2 linked regions of the Tamandua tetradactyla genome follow. The protein of the gene in region 1 purifies or fractionates together with the protein of each later gene. This does not show direct contact. Links are inferred from orthologs where the notes say so. Each region holds a gene or a part of one and is shown in the gene's direction. Other genes may lie near its edges.

Region 1 (7,576 bases):
ACTTCCCAGGCCTCCTGAATAATCCTAGAGAAGGGAAGAAGCCTAACCCCTAAAACCCAAGAGACTGAATTTCCAAAGCACTTTGGCTGAGGGAGCATTGGCAGAAGACCTTGAACCAGAGCTATATAAATTAGGGAAATGAAGAAATGTGAATTTTCTTGAACCCAGGTGGTCATGGAGAAAATGCATGCAAGTCATACTTTCAATTTCAGATGTAGAATCAGATTCAGGAACCGATAAATAAATATGCATTAGTTATTCAATCAACAAATGTTTAGGGTATGGTGAACTAGGGTCCTTACGGACTGATGGGGGGAATTCTTGGGCTTCTGACAAGGGAAAGTAGTTGAGGGGACCAGTGCCTCCAAGACCCAAAAACTTAAAGCCCCAATCAATCCACGAGATTGTGGATGTCACCAAAGAAGAAGGACCTTCTGTCCCTTGTATTACTCTTCCAATTGTCCTCTGAGACTTATTCCTCCTTCAAGTTGTTGCTCTTCATTTAAACATGATTTCACCAGGAGAAGGACCCAGTTTGATTTTCTTCTGCCAGCATCTTCCAAAGATAGCCTCACATCCCATTCCCTCCTATGAACAAGTCTTAAAAATAAACGAAGGCAGTTAAGTGCTGTGTCCAAAGCCAAGTTTGTTCCAAACTGAGAGTAATAAAATCCAGGGCTCCCCTTTCCTAATCCAATTTCAAGTGCAAATACTTCTCGTTGGTAATTTTGTTTGTAATGTCTGATCCTGCCATCTCCAGGACTTGATCCTTTATTTAAAGCATTTTGAAATCTGGTTTCAATGATATAATAAGTTTGAGCCTGTGCTCATTAACGTCACGACTCACATGAAGATACCGGCTCTTTAATCTTCCAGAAGGACTAAAAATCAGACAGGTGAAGGTAAGAAGAAATACATGTTTTGCCTGCCTATTTGCCCTTGAAATCAAAAGTCACAAACCTGTACAGTGTTTTTGCTTGGCTAGCAGTGTTTTTTTTTTTTTTCTAATTAGCTGCCAACATTTAAAATGCAGGTATTTTATACAAAAATCCAAAGTTCTGGTTTCTCTTGAAAAAAATCAGAACTGGCAATTTTTGGCTGCTGTCCCTTTTGGCTGAATTCTTGCATAATGGATGCTAATGATACTTTTGGCTTCCAGCATCTGAACCCCTCCCCTATGTTTTGGGGTGTCCCCATGTTGTGGTCATGGTGCGAGGCAGATGTCATTTCCCACCGTTGAAACTTATAAACCTGGGACTCACAAGCTTGAGTCACAGGCTTGGCCAATTAGGCATGTGCCCCTAGGCTTTTAGATGGAGAGCTAGTTTTAGGAAGAACCCGGGACAGAAAAGAACTGGAGAATTCTTTCTGGCAGTGGAAGTGATGAAAGTGAGATCCAATTTCTGGAGGTGGGTGGGGGCGTGGGAAGCGACAGGGTCCAGAGACCGCAGCAGCAGTCTCCTTTCTAGATTGGTTCCGTGGAGTAATTTTGACCATGGTTTCGGTTGCATGGCCTGTCTTTGTCCCTGCCCATTTTCCAAGCGAAGTTCCCCAGCCTTGCTTGAGAGTCTGCAAGCTATCCAATATCTTGATGCTCAAATTCCTGTTCTGCTGAAGCCGTCCTTCCACAAATTCTGTCCCTTGAGGCAGAGCAGATTTTCCTCCCGAACTTCTTTCTTTTTGTATTAACTTCCAGGCATTTGGGTCTGTAACTCTGGTCTGTATTGCTCCCTTTTCCTTTAAAGTGATAACATTTTGGTATTGGGAAAGAACCCAAAGATCATCCAGGGATAACATCAGCAAATTTTTTCTTAGTAATGAGAAAAAAATCTTCCAGAAACACCCGCTGACTTCCCCTCACTCTCACTGGGCAGAACTGGGTCATGTGTTTACATGAAGGCAATCAGTGGCAAGGGTAGTAAGTTTGCCATAATAGGCTTTTTCAGTGTTTGTTGAATTTTGGCCTGAATGTTAGAATCACCTGGGAGCGTTTTTAAAATGCCAATGCCTGGTCCTGTCCTGAGGCCAGATTTAATTGGTCTGATGTGGAGTTCTGGCATTGGCATTTTTGGTGATTTTAATGTCCTGCCAGGGCTGAGTCACTGATCTAGTTTACTCTTTACTCTCTGCCCACTTTACAGGTGCAAATACTGAGGTCCAAAGAGCTATGAAGTAATTTTCCCAAAGGACTATACCTTTACTCAATAGCAAAAACAGGAACAAGCAAAGACCCCCCCCCCCCTACAAATGGCATTTATTAGTATAGCTTTGCTTTTCCAGAGTACTCACGTGGCTGCCCATTCTTTTTCTTAGAAAGTGAAGTCATGTAGAGCTCAAGGACTGAGAAGCAATAGTGAAGTGGTTTTCAAACTTGAGTGCCTCAGAATACCCTGAGGGTTTGTTACAACACAGATGGCTGGGCCCAGCCCTCAGAGCTTCTGATTCAGTGGGTTTGGGGGAGAGGAGGGATAATTAGCATTTCTAACAAGTTCTGCTGGGATGCTAATATAGTGGGACTGAGGACCACACTTTGAGAACCACTAATGTAGTTCCATAGTTTGGGCTATGGAATCTGATTGTCCTGTTAACATCCAGTTTTGCCCCTTTTGTGAGCTTAGAATTTGAGCAAGATACTTTATATATTTATGAAATGAGGCCAATGATAGTAACTTGTGCTTGTTCAAGGATTGAGTGAATATAATAAATACAACACACTTGGAGCCATGTCTGGGCCATGGTAATTACTCAATGAATATTAGTTATTATCATTCATTCATTCATTCATTGAACAATGAATGATGCTTCCTTTGAGCCAGGCACTGTTCAGGTACCAGGAGTATAGTGCTGAATAAGTCAAATGCCCCGCTTTCAAAGAGTTTACAATCCACTAGGGAGCTACAGAATAGAGGACTTCGTAAATATGTGATATAACATCACCCAGAAGAATCCTGCATCCCAAGCAAACTGAACAACAGGTGCACACAGACTCCAAACTGCTTGTCTCCAGAAGCCTTGTCTCACCCCCAACAGAATTTACAGAGGATGAACTTCCAGAAAACAACCCCAGGGTGAAAACGAGACAGGGCCCTTGTGATCCGAAGATACTGAAGAAAATCGATATCAAAATGTTGGTGCTTTTTCTTTAACGTGAGGGCATAATGAATCACTTTTTTTCTTTTCTTTCTTTCTTTTTTTTTTTGTTGGCTTGCACTTCCCAGCAATCTTGTTCCAATCTTGTTTGCACCTTCCAGCTCAAGGATGTGGTGGCTTCATGTTTCTAATGCAAAGGCCTCTCAGCAGCTGGCCAGTTGTAACATTGTCATGCCATCCAATCCTTTAGATTTGGGAGGGAGGGGTCTTTGAAACAAGAGCAGGATGAGCGGAAAGTGTGTTAGAAAGGAAGGAGACTGAGATGGCACTGTGTGGGCTATGCCGGCTGCTTTAGGTGTTATTTCATCTAATCCTCAGAACCACCTTGGAGAAGGCATTCTTGGAGAGAAGCAACCTGGCCAAGACTAAGCGGAAAAGATGGCATGCAAACGATCCCAGCTGCCCTTGTTAAAGTTGCCTTTGAGAGGAAGCAGGGGATCGGGGCACTGTCATACCACAAGCTACATCTGAAGCTACTTCTGGGTCCCCAGGTAAGAGCCAGGATAAAGGTATACCTGCTACCTTATATTTGCCCACTGCCCCTCTATCCTGTTCTAAAGCAGGTGGCAGTGATGTAATCAGGTGCAAAGAATGCAGTTAAGTCTCCATCAGAACTCTACTGACACCAGGACCAGCCTCATCTCCTCCCAGTAAATCCTGCCTTTCTGCACATATTGTTAAAAAAGAACAAAACAACTTTATTACAGATGTAATACATGCTCGCTGCTGGGAAATGCAAGCCAACAAAAAAAAAAAAAGAAAGAAAAAGAAAAAAATGATTCATTATCCCCTCAGGTTAAAGAAAAAGCACCAACATTTTGATATCGATTTTCTTCAGTATCTTCAGATCACTAGGGCCCTGTCTCGTTTTCACCCTGGGGTTGTTTTCTGGAAGTTCATCCTCTGTAAATTCTGTTGGGGGTGAGACAAGGCTTCGGGAGACAGGCAGTTTGGAGTTGTGTTTGTTTGGGGTTGATTTTCAACTTCAAGTTGAACCTCCCAACCATGGGAGCAAAAGGTACTGGGAGCCTTTTTATAGATGGGCATCTGTATTCAAGAACTGGCCGCATCACTTGAGTTGTTTTTTCCTCCGGAATTTTTAGCCCCGGCAGCTTTCGGTTCTTTGAACAGTAAGTGTTTGAACCTTGATGATGTGTCAGAGGATGGCTCAATTGGCCTTGACCGTGAGACCCTTACTTGAAATGATAATGACTGGCGGCTTCAGGGGACGGCCTCGCCTCTCCCGCTCCTTCTGTCTGGGTTCAGAAGCTGCTTGCCATGGAGAGAGCACAGCGCGGGCTCCAAGGGCGGAGCTGGAGGGAGGCAGGCGGCCTGCGCCCCCTGGTAACCAGGCAACCCGCTCCTTAGCAACGGAAGGGGCGGGACCGAAGGAGGAAGTCGGAAGCCGGAAAGCAAGTCTCGCGAGAGTTGCTTTTGCGCGCGAACTCTTAAGTGCTGGGGTCCCAGGGTCTGATTGCGCAGGGGAGCTGTGCAATCGTTTGGGGGTGATCGACGACCGCCGCGGACCGTGTCACTGCACCACCCCACTCCACCATGGAGACCTCAGCGTTCAAGCAGCAGCAGCCTGCGGCGAACAAGAGCAGAAACCTACCTTGGTAGGAGGAGGCCTGCGGTCGCAGTGGGAGATAAATCAGTGGCACCGGGAGGGGATGGTGGGGGTAGAAAGTGGCAGGGCCCGGGCCCACCTCACCCCTCCTGCGCACCTGCGGCCGGGGCGGAACTCACACAGGTTTGCCTTGACATCCCCCAATTCTCCAATCCCTCTCCATTCTGTTCAGGACCTTAAAATTTTGCCAGGTCTCCCCTCACCCTCAGTTTCCTTGCCGAAGAGGAACGCTGTTTTTGCACCTGGTGACAGCACAGGGACTCGATCCCACGTCTTCTGACTCCCTTCATTGGTTTCCATGCCCAGTTACCCTCATCTCTTTCGACAGCCAAAATCTTCAAAACCGTTATTGGTCAAATCCTAAGCTAAGCTAAACAATAAAGTACCAACGCCTTTTAGTTACCATTTATAAAACGGCTGCGACACACAGCCAATTCGAGGTTTGGCGTGCGTTAAATCTTGTGATCCTTACAACCTCTTAGGACGTAGGTACTGTTATTATTCCCATATTACAGATGAAGCAACTACCTTAAAAAGGTTAAATGACTTCCCTGAGGTCCTAAAGGCAGAAAATAGGCTTGGATTTGAACCCAAGCGGTCTGAATTCAGAGCCTGCATTCTTAACCATCCTACTTCCACATCCATATGCTTAGTGATGCTTTGGTTGTATTTGGCCAGATTTTGGAAACTCCAAATTGTTTTGGTATAATGACTGCATTTCCCTTTCCATCCTACGCAATCCCCCAAATAAAGCACTGTTTTTATTTATAGAGTCCTGATCACTTCAGGGGTAGGAGTGGAGAGGTTCCTTTTTCAATACAGAGGCCTCCCTAATATTGGTTTGTTTTTACCAAACGCATAGGCAAGTGGCTTCATGGATTCAGAAAACAAATTACAGTACTTAGTTTCTTTAGTCCCACTCTGCTAGAGCGGCAAGGTGAGCATCAGTTTTTGCTTCTGGAAGAATCCTGAATTTGGGATTTTCAACTGTAACAACTCCAACTTCTATTTCTGAGGGTTTGGAATCAATTGATAGAACAGGAGACCGGTGTGTAATTGCAGTTTCAACTGTCTGTTCAAATGTCCAATCAGATTTCTTCTTTACTTTTTTTTTTTTCAAGGAAGCTGGTTGACTTGGTTTGTTTAATTCCTGCTGCAGTGGCTTTAAACCACAGTAGTAACCTGCAGGATCACAGGTGCACACCTAAGGGCCTGGCTCTTCCTCTATACCAATTAAAATCATGCAACATCCAAGAGGCCTCATTTCAGCGTTCTCTGTAGACCTGAGCAATATCTCCAGTTCATTTACACAACATGTCCACAGGAATCTCATAGCTATACTTGCGTTTCTATACCTCATAGCAGCCTCCCTCCCTGGGATCTAATGTCAGCTGTCATTCTTGTTATCATACAGCCAATGTTTTGGGTTATCTTGAATAAGTGAGTCACCGTGCTGAAATCCAATAATTTGTCAGATACTTTGTTCTTTGTGACAAGTACTGCACAGTCTTTCCCTCTGACATGTATGATGTAAGGCCACCTTGGTTAATAGCCTTAAAAGCATATTCTGGGGTACACAGGTGGTTCGGTGGTAGAATGCTCGCTTTCCATGCTGGAAATCCGGGTTCAGTTACCGGACCATGCGCCTGAAAAAAAAAAGCATATTCTGCTTGGTGGAGGCGGCCCTCAGGTGAAAAAACAATAATGTGGCAGTCAAAACTTGTGCTGGAACCATGGGACATGTTGGTGTGCCCACTGCTTCAAACATAGCTTCTGGGCCCCGAGCTCTCACACAAGGCTACCTAAAGAGTGCATTTTTTTAAAATTGTGGTAAAAAAAAACCGCATAATGTAAAATTTACCATTGTAACTATCTTAAAAGTATGCAATTCAGTGGCATTAAGCACATTCACCACTATCTAGTTCCTGAGTTTTTTCATCATTCCAAATGAAAACCCCAAACTGTTAATCAGTCATTCTCATCCTCCTTCCCCTCAGTCCCTGGCAACTACTGATCTGCTTTCTGTCTGTATGGATTTGCCTATTTTGGAGATTTCGTGTAAATGGAATCAGACAATGTGTGGTCTTTTGTATCTGGCTTCTTTCACTTAGCATTGATGATTTCAGGGTTTATCCATGTTGTAGCTTCCATTGTACTTCATTCCTTTTTATAGCTGAATAATATTCCCAAGTCTGGAGACACCACCTTTTGTTTATCCATTCATCTGTTGATGGAATTGGGGTAGGAGTTCAATTTTGAGTTCACTTTAAAATAGTCAGTGCAGGTTGAGATTATAGGCAGATAGGTAGAAAGGTAGAATTAGAACAAGATTCCTCAACTTCAGCACTTTTACATTTTGAGCCAAATACTTTGTGTTGGGGGTGGTGGTGAGGTGCTCTATAATCATTTGTATCGTAGGATGTTTAGCAGCCTCCCTGTATGCCAGTAGCCAGTTGTGACAACCAAGAATGTCTCCAAACATTGCCAAAAATTCCCTGCGGGACAAAAGCACCCCTGGTTGAAAACCACTGGACTGTATTAAAATTTAGTGGGTTGCTGTTTCTCTTTTTTTAATTAGGGTATGAAAGGATTCTTTTGCAAACACAAAACGTGCTTGCATTCATATATGTTGTAATTCATACTAAATTGTGTTTCAGGGTTGAAAAATACCGGCCACAGACACTGAATGATCTCATTTCTCATCAGGACATTTTGAGTACCAGTAAGTATCCGTATATCAGTTCCTGTTATCCTAGTCGAACAAACTATATAAATTTCTTGGTGCTGTCATCTCTGCTG
Region 2 (7,411 bases), on another chromosome or scaffold:
TTAAAGAAACATGGCTACTGGAACACAGCTCTACAGCTTCAGGCACTTCCCCCTAGCCTAATACACTTTAATCTAAAAAGGGGATATCTATATAATGTGTAAGAATAACCTCCAGGATAACCTCTCGACTCTGAAATCTTTCAGCCACTGACACTTTATTTTATCTCATTTCTCTCTTCCTCTTTTCGGTCAAGAGGACTTTCTCAACCCCTTGATGTTGAGTCCCAGATCATTCTAGGATTTCTGTCCCTCATTGCCAGGGAGGTTTACACCCCTGGGAATCATGTCCCACGTAGAGAGTGGGAGGGCGGTGAGTTTACTTGCCGTGTTGTCTGAGAGAGAGATAGGCCACGTCTGAGCCACAAAAGAGGTTCTTTGGGGGTAAGTCTTGGGCCTAATTTGAAGCATAGCCTGACTACCTTCTAAAATTGCAATCTTTCCCCTGGCATTCATTTCCTTATCCCACTTCCTGCTCTATTTTCTCCTCAGCATTTACCCTTACCTATCCTACCATATATTTTACTTATTTATCAATTTTATTATATGTCCCTTCAATCAGAATGTAAACTGCAAGAGGTTAGGGATTTTTATCTGTTTTGTTCATGCTGCTTCCCGGTGTCTAAACAGTGCCTGGCATATAGTAGGAACTCCACGCTATTTATGGAATGATGGACTACCACAGATGGTGACACTGAGGTATGGGATTGAAAAAGGAGGGTATTAGTTAAAATCAGAGTGACATCTTCCAGTTCCAGAGTTCTATAACATGCAGTTAGGTGACCTCTTCAAATAGCCCCTACCCAACTGCAAGATATACAACTCTTCCACAGTTCTTGAAACTGGAGGATAAACTGAATGGTCCCAGAGAAAGATCACCTCATATTGACAGTTGGGAGGCCCCTGTGAAGAGGCAGCAGACTCCCCAGACCCACAACCCCCAGGACCAGAAAACTATTGGATTAATGCCTGGCAAAGCAGGGGGCCTCTGGACCCTCCTCTAGCCCTAAGTGCCAGAATCTGTTGATTCTTTGGTATTTTGACCTACCTTTCATTGATTATTTTGACTCTCCTCTTGGGCAGCAGGTAATAGATATATAGAAACAAAATAAAATAGAAAAAAAAAGAGGAGGTACTTATCAATTCCAGGAAAAGAAAAAAACTTGGAGGCGAAAGTAAATCACTTGGATCAGTTGTAAACAATATTTACATCATCACAAAATGCAAAATTGATGATTGAGTTAGTAAAAAATTGCCATATAAATATAATAGAAGGGGGGAAGGAGAGAAAGTGTGAAGGGTGTGGTATAAGAGAATTTAATTCTCAGTCACCACAACAGGAAATTAATGAATATGTTTAATGTAGTTAAATCAAGAAATAGCTGTACAAACATATTATATATTAAAAAATAAGTTATTTATATTGTGAAGTGTTGAAATTGGTTGTCTATGGGAAAGAGACCCAGGTTGTGAAATAGCTATATTTTTATGTTTTTTAAAATGTTCTTTGATGTTTTTAACAAAGTGTAGGCATTACTTTGTTAAAAATGAAAAATAATTAAAGTAGGGTTTATGAAAAAAATAGGAAAGATACTCTAAATGACACGAACAAACTGTAAACTCTAAGTTGCTATACAAACATGGAACCCATTTAATTTAAAATTGATAAATACCATGAGTTCCTAAATGAGGGTTGTGTAAAATACTAATTACATATCTAGAAACAAACTCAGTGCATATGATAACAACTCAAGGCAGTACAAATGCATAACATTCAAGAAGGATAAAAAGCCTATAGACATAACCTATAACTTACTTTGAGATGTTTATCCTAGGGAGACATTACACGTGTGTTTAGGGGACCTAGACAAAAATATTCATTCACTCACTGCTTGAGTAACAGAAAATTAGAGACAACCCAAATGTCCATCTCTAAGGAAATACATAATTAAAACGTGGTGCATAGTTGGATAGAAAACTCAGGAATGAAAGGGAATAGATGAGATTTGTTCTAGTTTGCTAGCTGCCAGAATACAATATACCAGAAACGGAATGGCTTTTAAAAAGGGGTATTTAATAAGTTGCTTGTTTAAGTTCTAAGGCCGAGAAAATGTACCAATTAAAACAACTCTATAGAAGTGTCCAATCTAAGGCATCCAGGAAAAGATACCTTGGTTCAAGAAGGCCGATGAAGTTCAGGGTTTCTCTCTCAAGTGGAAGGGCACATGGTGAGCACAGTCAGGGCTTCTCTCTAGGCTGGAAGGGCACATGGTGAACATGGCATCATCTGCTAGCTTTCTCTCCTGGCTTCGGGTTTCTTTTTCATTTATTTATTTATTTATTCATTTATTTATTAATTAAAAAAATTAACTAACAACATTTAGAAATCATTCCATTCTACATATGCAATCAGTAATTCTTAATATCATCACATAGATGTATGATCATCATTTCTTAGTACATTTGCATCGATTTAGAAAAAGAAATAGCAAGACAACAGAAAAAGAAATAAAATGATAATATAGAGAAAAAATAAAAATAAAAAATACAAAAAATATATATAAAAAAACAAACAAAAAAAAACTATAGCTCAGATGCAGCTTCATTCAGTATTTTAACATAATTACATTACAATTAGGTAGTATTGTGCTGTACATTTTTGCATTTTTGTATCTAGTCCTGTTGCACAGTCTGTATCCCTTGAAGCTCCCCGGGAGGCGTTGTCCTTCTTCATCTCCAAAGGTCGCTGGCTTGTGGACTCTGCTTTGTGGTGCTGCAGCATTCTCTGCTCTCTCTGAATCTCCATTCTCCAAAATGTTTCCTCTTTTATAGGACTCCAGCAAACCAATCAAGACCTACCCAAATGGGTGGAGACATGTTGTCACCTAATCCAGTTTAACAAACACTCTTGACTAAATCACATCATCCAGGGAGATGATCTGATTACAGATTCAAACATACAGTACCAAATAGGGATTATTCTACCTTTATGAAATGGGATTTTGATTAAAATATGGCTTTTCTAGGGGGCATACTTCCGTTCAAACCAGCACAAGGTCTACATGAATCATGAACAGCTCTTGAAAACAATGTTGAGTAAAAAAAACAAGCAAATGAGTGATATCTACAGTGACACCATTTATTTATAATTTTTTTGTACATAAAAACAAAAGTAAAGATTTCCTATGGATACATATGTGTATGGAAAGCTATGAAAAAGATTGCAGCAGTACACACCAAATAAATAATAGTGGCCACCTCTGGGAGAAAGGGAGAAGATCAAGTTCAGGGGTAAAAGTCAAAGGAAATTTTTAGGTTTTTTTCCTGTAATTTTCTCATTTATTTTTCTTGTTCTTTTTTGGGACAATGTTCATATACTCCCTGAGTTATAAAACATATATAACAAGGGAACAGAACAGTACATTAAACATTAAACATTATTTTTAAAACATTAACATTAAGCAAAACATTAAAGAAACAGAACAGAGCATTAAAGCAGTAGTGTTTCTCCTCCTGAAAAATCTTATTCAGAGCTAATTTTCAAAGAAAACGTAATTACCATTAATTTCATTAGGGAAACATTTGTATGTGCTCTTACCACACAAATTACCTCCCACTTCTGATAAGACAGCAACAAAGACCCTAAAAGATGGTCACAAATACTTCAGTAGTTAAAAACACTTTGCATAACACTGGAACAGGTGGCTTCCCATCATTACTTGATTATGTCCTTTCTCTCTGTCGGCTCCTACACACTTGATTCAGTTTTTACATACCCGTCAGTTAAAAACTTATGCTTTCCAACAAACATTCATTATGTTTATGTAATTGCAACTTTCACGTAAAAGAAAAAAAGACTAAACAAATCCATAAAAACAATGGAAATGAAAACAAGGTTATCATTACTACTAACAGCAAAACACTGGTATCCTGCTTGGACTCCTACACTGCTCAGAGGACGAAATCCACAGGGAAAACAAGTCTTCTTAGCCAAATTCGGGGTATAAACGTAAAGCCAAAATCTCGGACCCCAAATGGGCTTATCTCGAGGTATGACTCACGCCAAATAATTAACATATACTGGGTGATAGGAATATAGTAATTGTTACTTCTTTAACAAAATTTCCACTTTAAAAAAGGATCCGGCCTGGAGCGTCAAGAGTCTAGGGTTTTAGTTTTATCGCCGACTAGGTGATCCAAGTCAAATCAAGTCCTTACATGTGAAATTGGACTTTAAGTCACGAGAAATTCGAATCTTTAAAATTCCGGTTGACATTAAATTCCTCGGTACTAAGATCCTGCTTCGGGCCAGTTCGCCAAGAGAAGCATTTTGGCTCCTTTGGCTCACCGTCCGTTCAGATCTCGGGAAGCAACACTAAGCTCCGCCCCCCGCGCGCCGGACGGCGCGAAAACCCAATTGACTAGAACTCCTGCTAAACCTTTCAGGACTGATCTGCGTTCGGTCAGCTTTCCCCGCCCGGACCCTTCTAGCCTTGAAGACTCACCCTAGAGCGCCCGCCTAGGAGGCACTCGGCGCTCACTGGCCGCGCCCCAGGGGTCTCGCCGTCCGCGCCTTTTCTTCCCCTCTTCCCGCGTTCGACTCGGCCAAGCTCGGCCCGGGCTCCGCGCGCTCTTCGGCGGGTGGGCGCAGGGAAATCCGAGACGGACCGGGAGACCCAGCTCGGCTCTCCTCCTGGAGCAGGCCGCCCCCATGGCCTCCAGGCAGGCCAGTCCGGTTCGCGAATGCTCCTAGGAACCGGGATACTGGGAAGCAGGGAGCATGGTAGGGGTCCTTGCCATGGCGGCGGCGGCTGCTCCCCCTCCAGTGAAGGACTACGAGATTGAGGTGCGGTCGAGTGTCTGTCGAGTTCCTTTCTCCGGCTGTTGGGGTTGGGTGGGTGGAAGGTGATCCCGACTTTGCAACTCTGAGGCGGAAGGGAAGGACATGGTGAGACCCCCAAGTTATGATCTTGTGCCTAGACTGTGTCTCTTTTTAGAGTTGTCTTGACAAACATTGCGGTTGTGCGATGTTTGGGGGGTCACGGTAAATCTGGATTTAGAATGATGATTCGGCCAGTTACCAGAGCCTGACATGTTCGTGGAACATGATGTTTTGGACTTGTGACATGTCATGGGGTAGCCGAGAGACAGGTTCTGGTTTCATGATATAGAGCCATAGGACTTTAGCGATGAAAAGGATTTTAAAGTTCACCTAGCCTATCCTTCTGTCTATTTTAGGAATGCCACTTAGTGTCAGTACTGGAATTAAACAAGGTGCTTAATAAAAAAATCAGTTTCTCCTGGCCCTAGTTCTTATGCTACAATTAGAAATTCAGTGTGGCATACTGACATTTCATGATTTTGTCAAGTTTTAGTGAAGTGCACTAAGCATTCATTATAAAGAGAGTCTAGTGCCGCTTAAGTAGTGGGCTAGCATCTTAAGGTAAACAGTTGCTATATTTTTACGTCTTTTCATCTCAGGTTAGCATTCTAACTGAAATATGTGTCCTGGTGTCCTCTAAGTGAGCCGAGATGTATGCACTTTTTTTTAGGCTTTTTTTTTTTTTTTTTTTTTTTTTGCATGGGTAGTAACCGGGAATCGAGCCCCGGTCTCCGGCTTGGCTGGCAAGAACTGCCTGCTGAGCCACGGTGGCCCGCCCTAAAATGTATACACTTTTAACCGCGACCATTTCTTTTTTCTCGGAGTTGGGTGCCCTTTTTCCCCCTCTTTTTGTTTTTATTTAATTATTATTATTTTTTGGAGTTGAGTGACTTTTGTATGCTTGAAAATAGTTATGCTGATACTAGCTACTAATTAGCTAAATCAAGGCAGTTCTCAGCTGGTCTCAGGTTTTGTGATGGTCTTTTGGTAGTTGAATTACACAGTTTTTGATTTGTGTGTGGTCAGTTTTATCAATCTTTTCCTTATGTTTTCTGCTTTTGGTAGCCTGCTTAGAGAGCTTGTATAATTATAATGACACTTACTTTTGTATGGTAAGGGTAAGGGCTTTATAAATATTATTGCTTAATATTGCTTAATATCAACCCTGTGATGGAGTCCACAAAGGAGAAGAAGGTTAAAAAGTTTAATTTGGTACAGTGTTAATAATGGTGGATCTGGGTATCTTGAAGGGTGGGGGTATGTTGGAGTTCTCTTATTGGTTTTGTATTATTTTTGCACCTGTCCTATAAGTTTGAAATTATTTCAAAATAAAGAAGTTTAAGGGAAGGAAAGGAAAAACTCTTTAAAAACAGCAGGTTTAATTTGATTAAGGTCACACCCAGTAGATGTCAGAGCTGACAGCTGGTAGATCTGACCCCACAGGCTGTAGTATAGTGCCTCTAATATTGTCTCAGGATTGTATCTATACTCATCAGTATTTTCTTCTAGTGTATTTATGATTTCATTGTAACAAATACGGTTTTAGTTTGTCTGATCTTATTTTGTTTCAGGTTAGAAATTTGTCCCAATACTATTAACTGTGTCTTTTTCCACTAACTTGATTGCTATTAGTATCATATATTAAGGTCTTAAATATTTACTTTATTTTATATATAGCAAATATATTATACGGTTTCTGAGTTTTTTAACCCATTCCATTAAAATATCTGCCTGTATCAGCACTACACTTTTAATCTTGATAGCTGTATAATACAATTAAGTTTCCAGAAGTATAATTCTCCTATTCATTACCTCTTAAGAATTTCCTTGTTATTTTGATAAGTTTATTCTAACAAACAGAGAAGAGAGAATTAAAGAAAAAACCAATGGAACTTTTTGTACCCAATAAGTTGATATCTATTTTCTATCATAATAAAATTTGTTTATAATATATAGAAATATATATATAGATTACTAACTTATGATCAACAAAAAAGATAGTCATGTCTAACATTATAGTAATCTTTATGCTGTGAGTGTAATCACTAATGTAGAAGGAAGATAGTGGTTGTTTTAATAGCAAATTAAAATAACAGACTTGTAGTAAGTGTTCTTCTGGTGATGTTACTATATTTTCTGTTTGATTAGTAAATATTGTGGGATCCTGGGCTTGTTCATCATGTTCTTGTTTTTTTTTTTTTTTTTTAAGTACAGCCAGGATAATGTGTTTAACTAAAACTTACCTAGATAAAAGTTAAAAAGGGATGGAACAAACATTTGTATTGTCCCTATCATGTGTCAGACTTGACATATTTTATCTAATACATTCATTTTAAGTTCTGTAAAATTGGTGATGCTATTCATGGTTCATAGAGTAAACAGAAGCTGTGAGAGATTGATACATTTACTCATAAATACAGTGACCTTGGAATTTTTTTTTTTAGTGTGAACATTTTATATAATGAAAAATACACTTATAAATTATAAGCGTACAACTCATTGGGCACTGGAATTTAAATATAGGTTTAACTT

What was found. Proteins that work in one complex are often made in the same cells at the same time.
Region 2: the proteins of RFC5 (region 1) and ATAD5 purify together in Homo sapiens (affinity purification with mass spectrometry; 4 studies listed by BioGRID and IntAct, counting the BioPlex papers as one, with this or other methods). This does not show direct contact. The link is inferred for Tamandua tetradactyla from reciprocal best matches to the Homo sapiens genes RFC5 and ATAD5.

The regions. Positions count from the first base shown.
Region 1 is NC_135331.1:18,313,107-18,320,682, forward strand, and holds the start of RFC5 (replication factor C subunit 5), read left to right. Parts: upstream 1-4,561; 5' UTR 4,562-4,704; coding exon 4,705-4,766; intron 4,767-5,687; exon of another isoform or gene 5,688-6,344; intron 6,345-6,416; exon of another isoform or gene 6,417-6,519; intron 6,520-7,434; coding exon 7,435-7,499; intron 7,500-7,576. UniProt on the Homo sapiens protein: Subunit of the replication factor C (RFC) complex which acts during elongation of primed DNA templates by DNA polymerases delta and epsilon, and is necessary for ATP-dependent loading of proliferating cell nuclear antigen (PCNA) onto primed DNA.
Region 2 is NC_135332.1:50,843,336-50,850,746, forward strand, and holds the start of ATAD5 (ATPase family AAA domain-containing protein 5), read left to right. Parts: upstream 1-4,393; 5' UTR 4,394-4,777; coding exon 4,778-4,843; intron 4,844-7,411. UniProt on the Homo sapiens protein: Has an important role in DNA replication and in maintaining genome integrity during replication stress.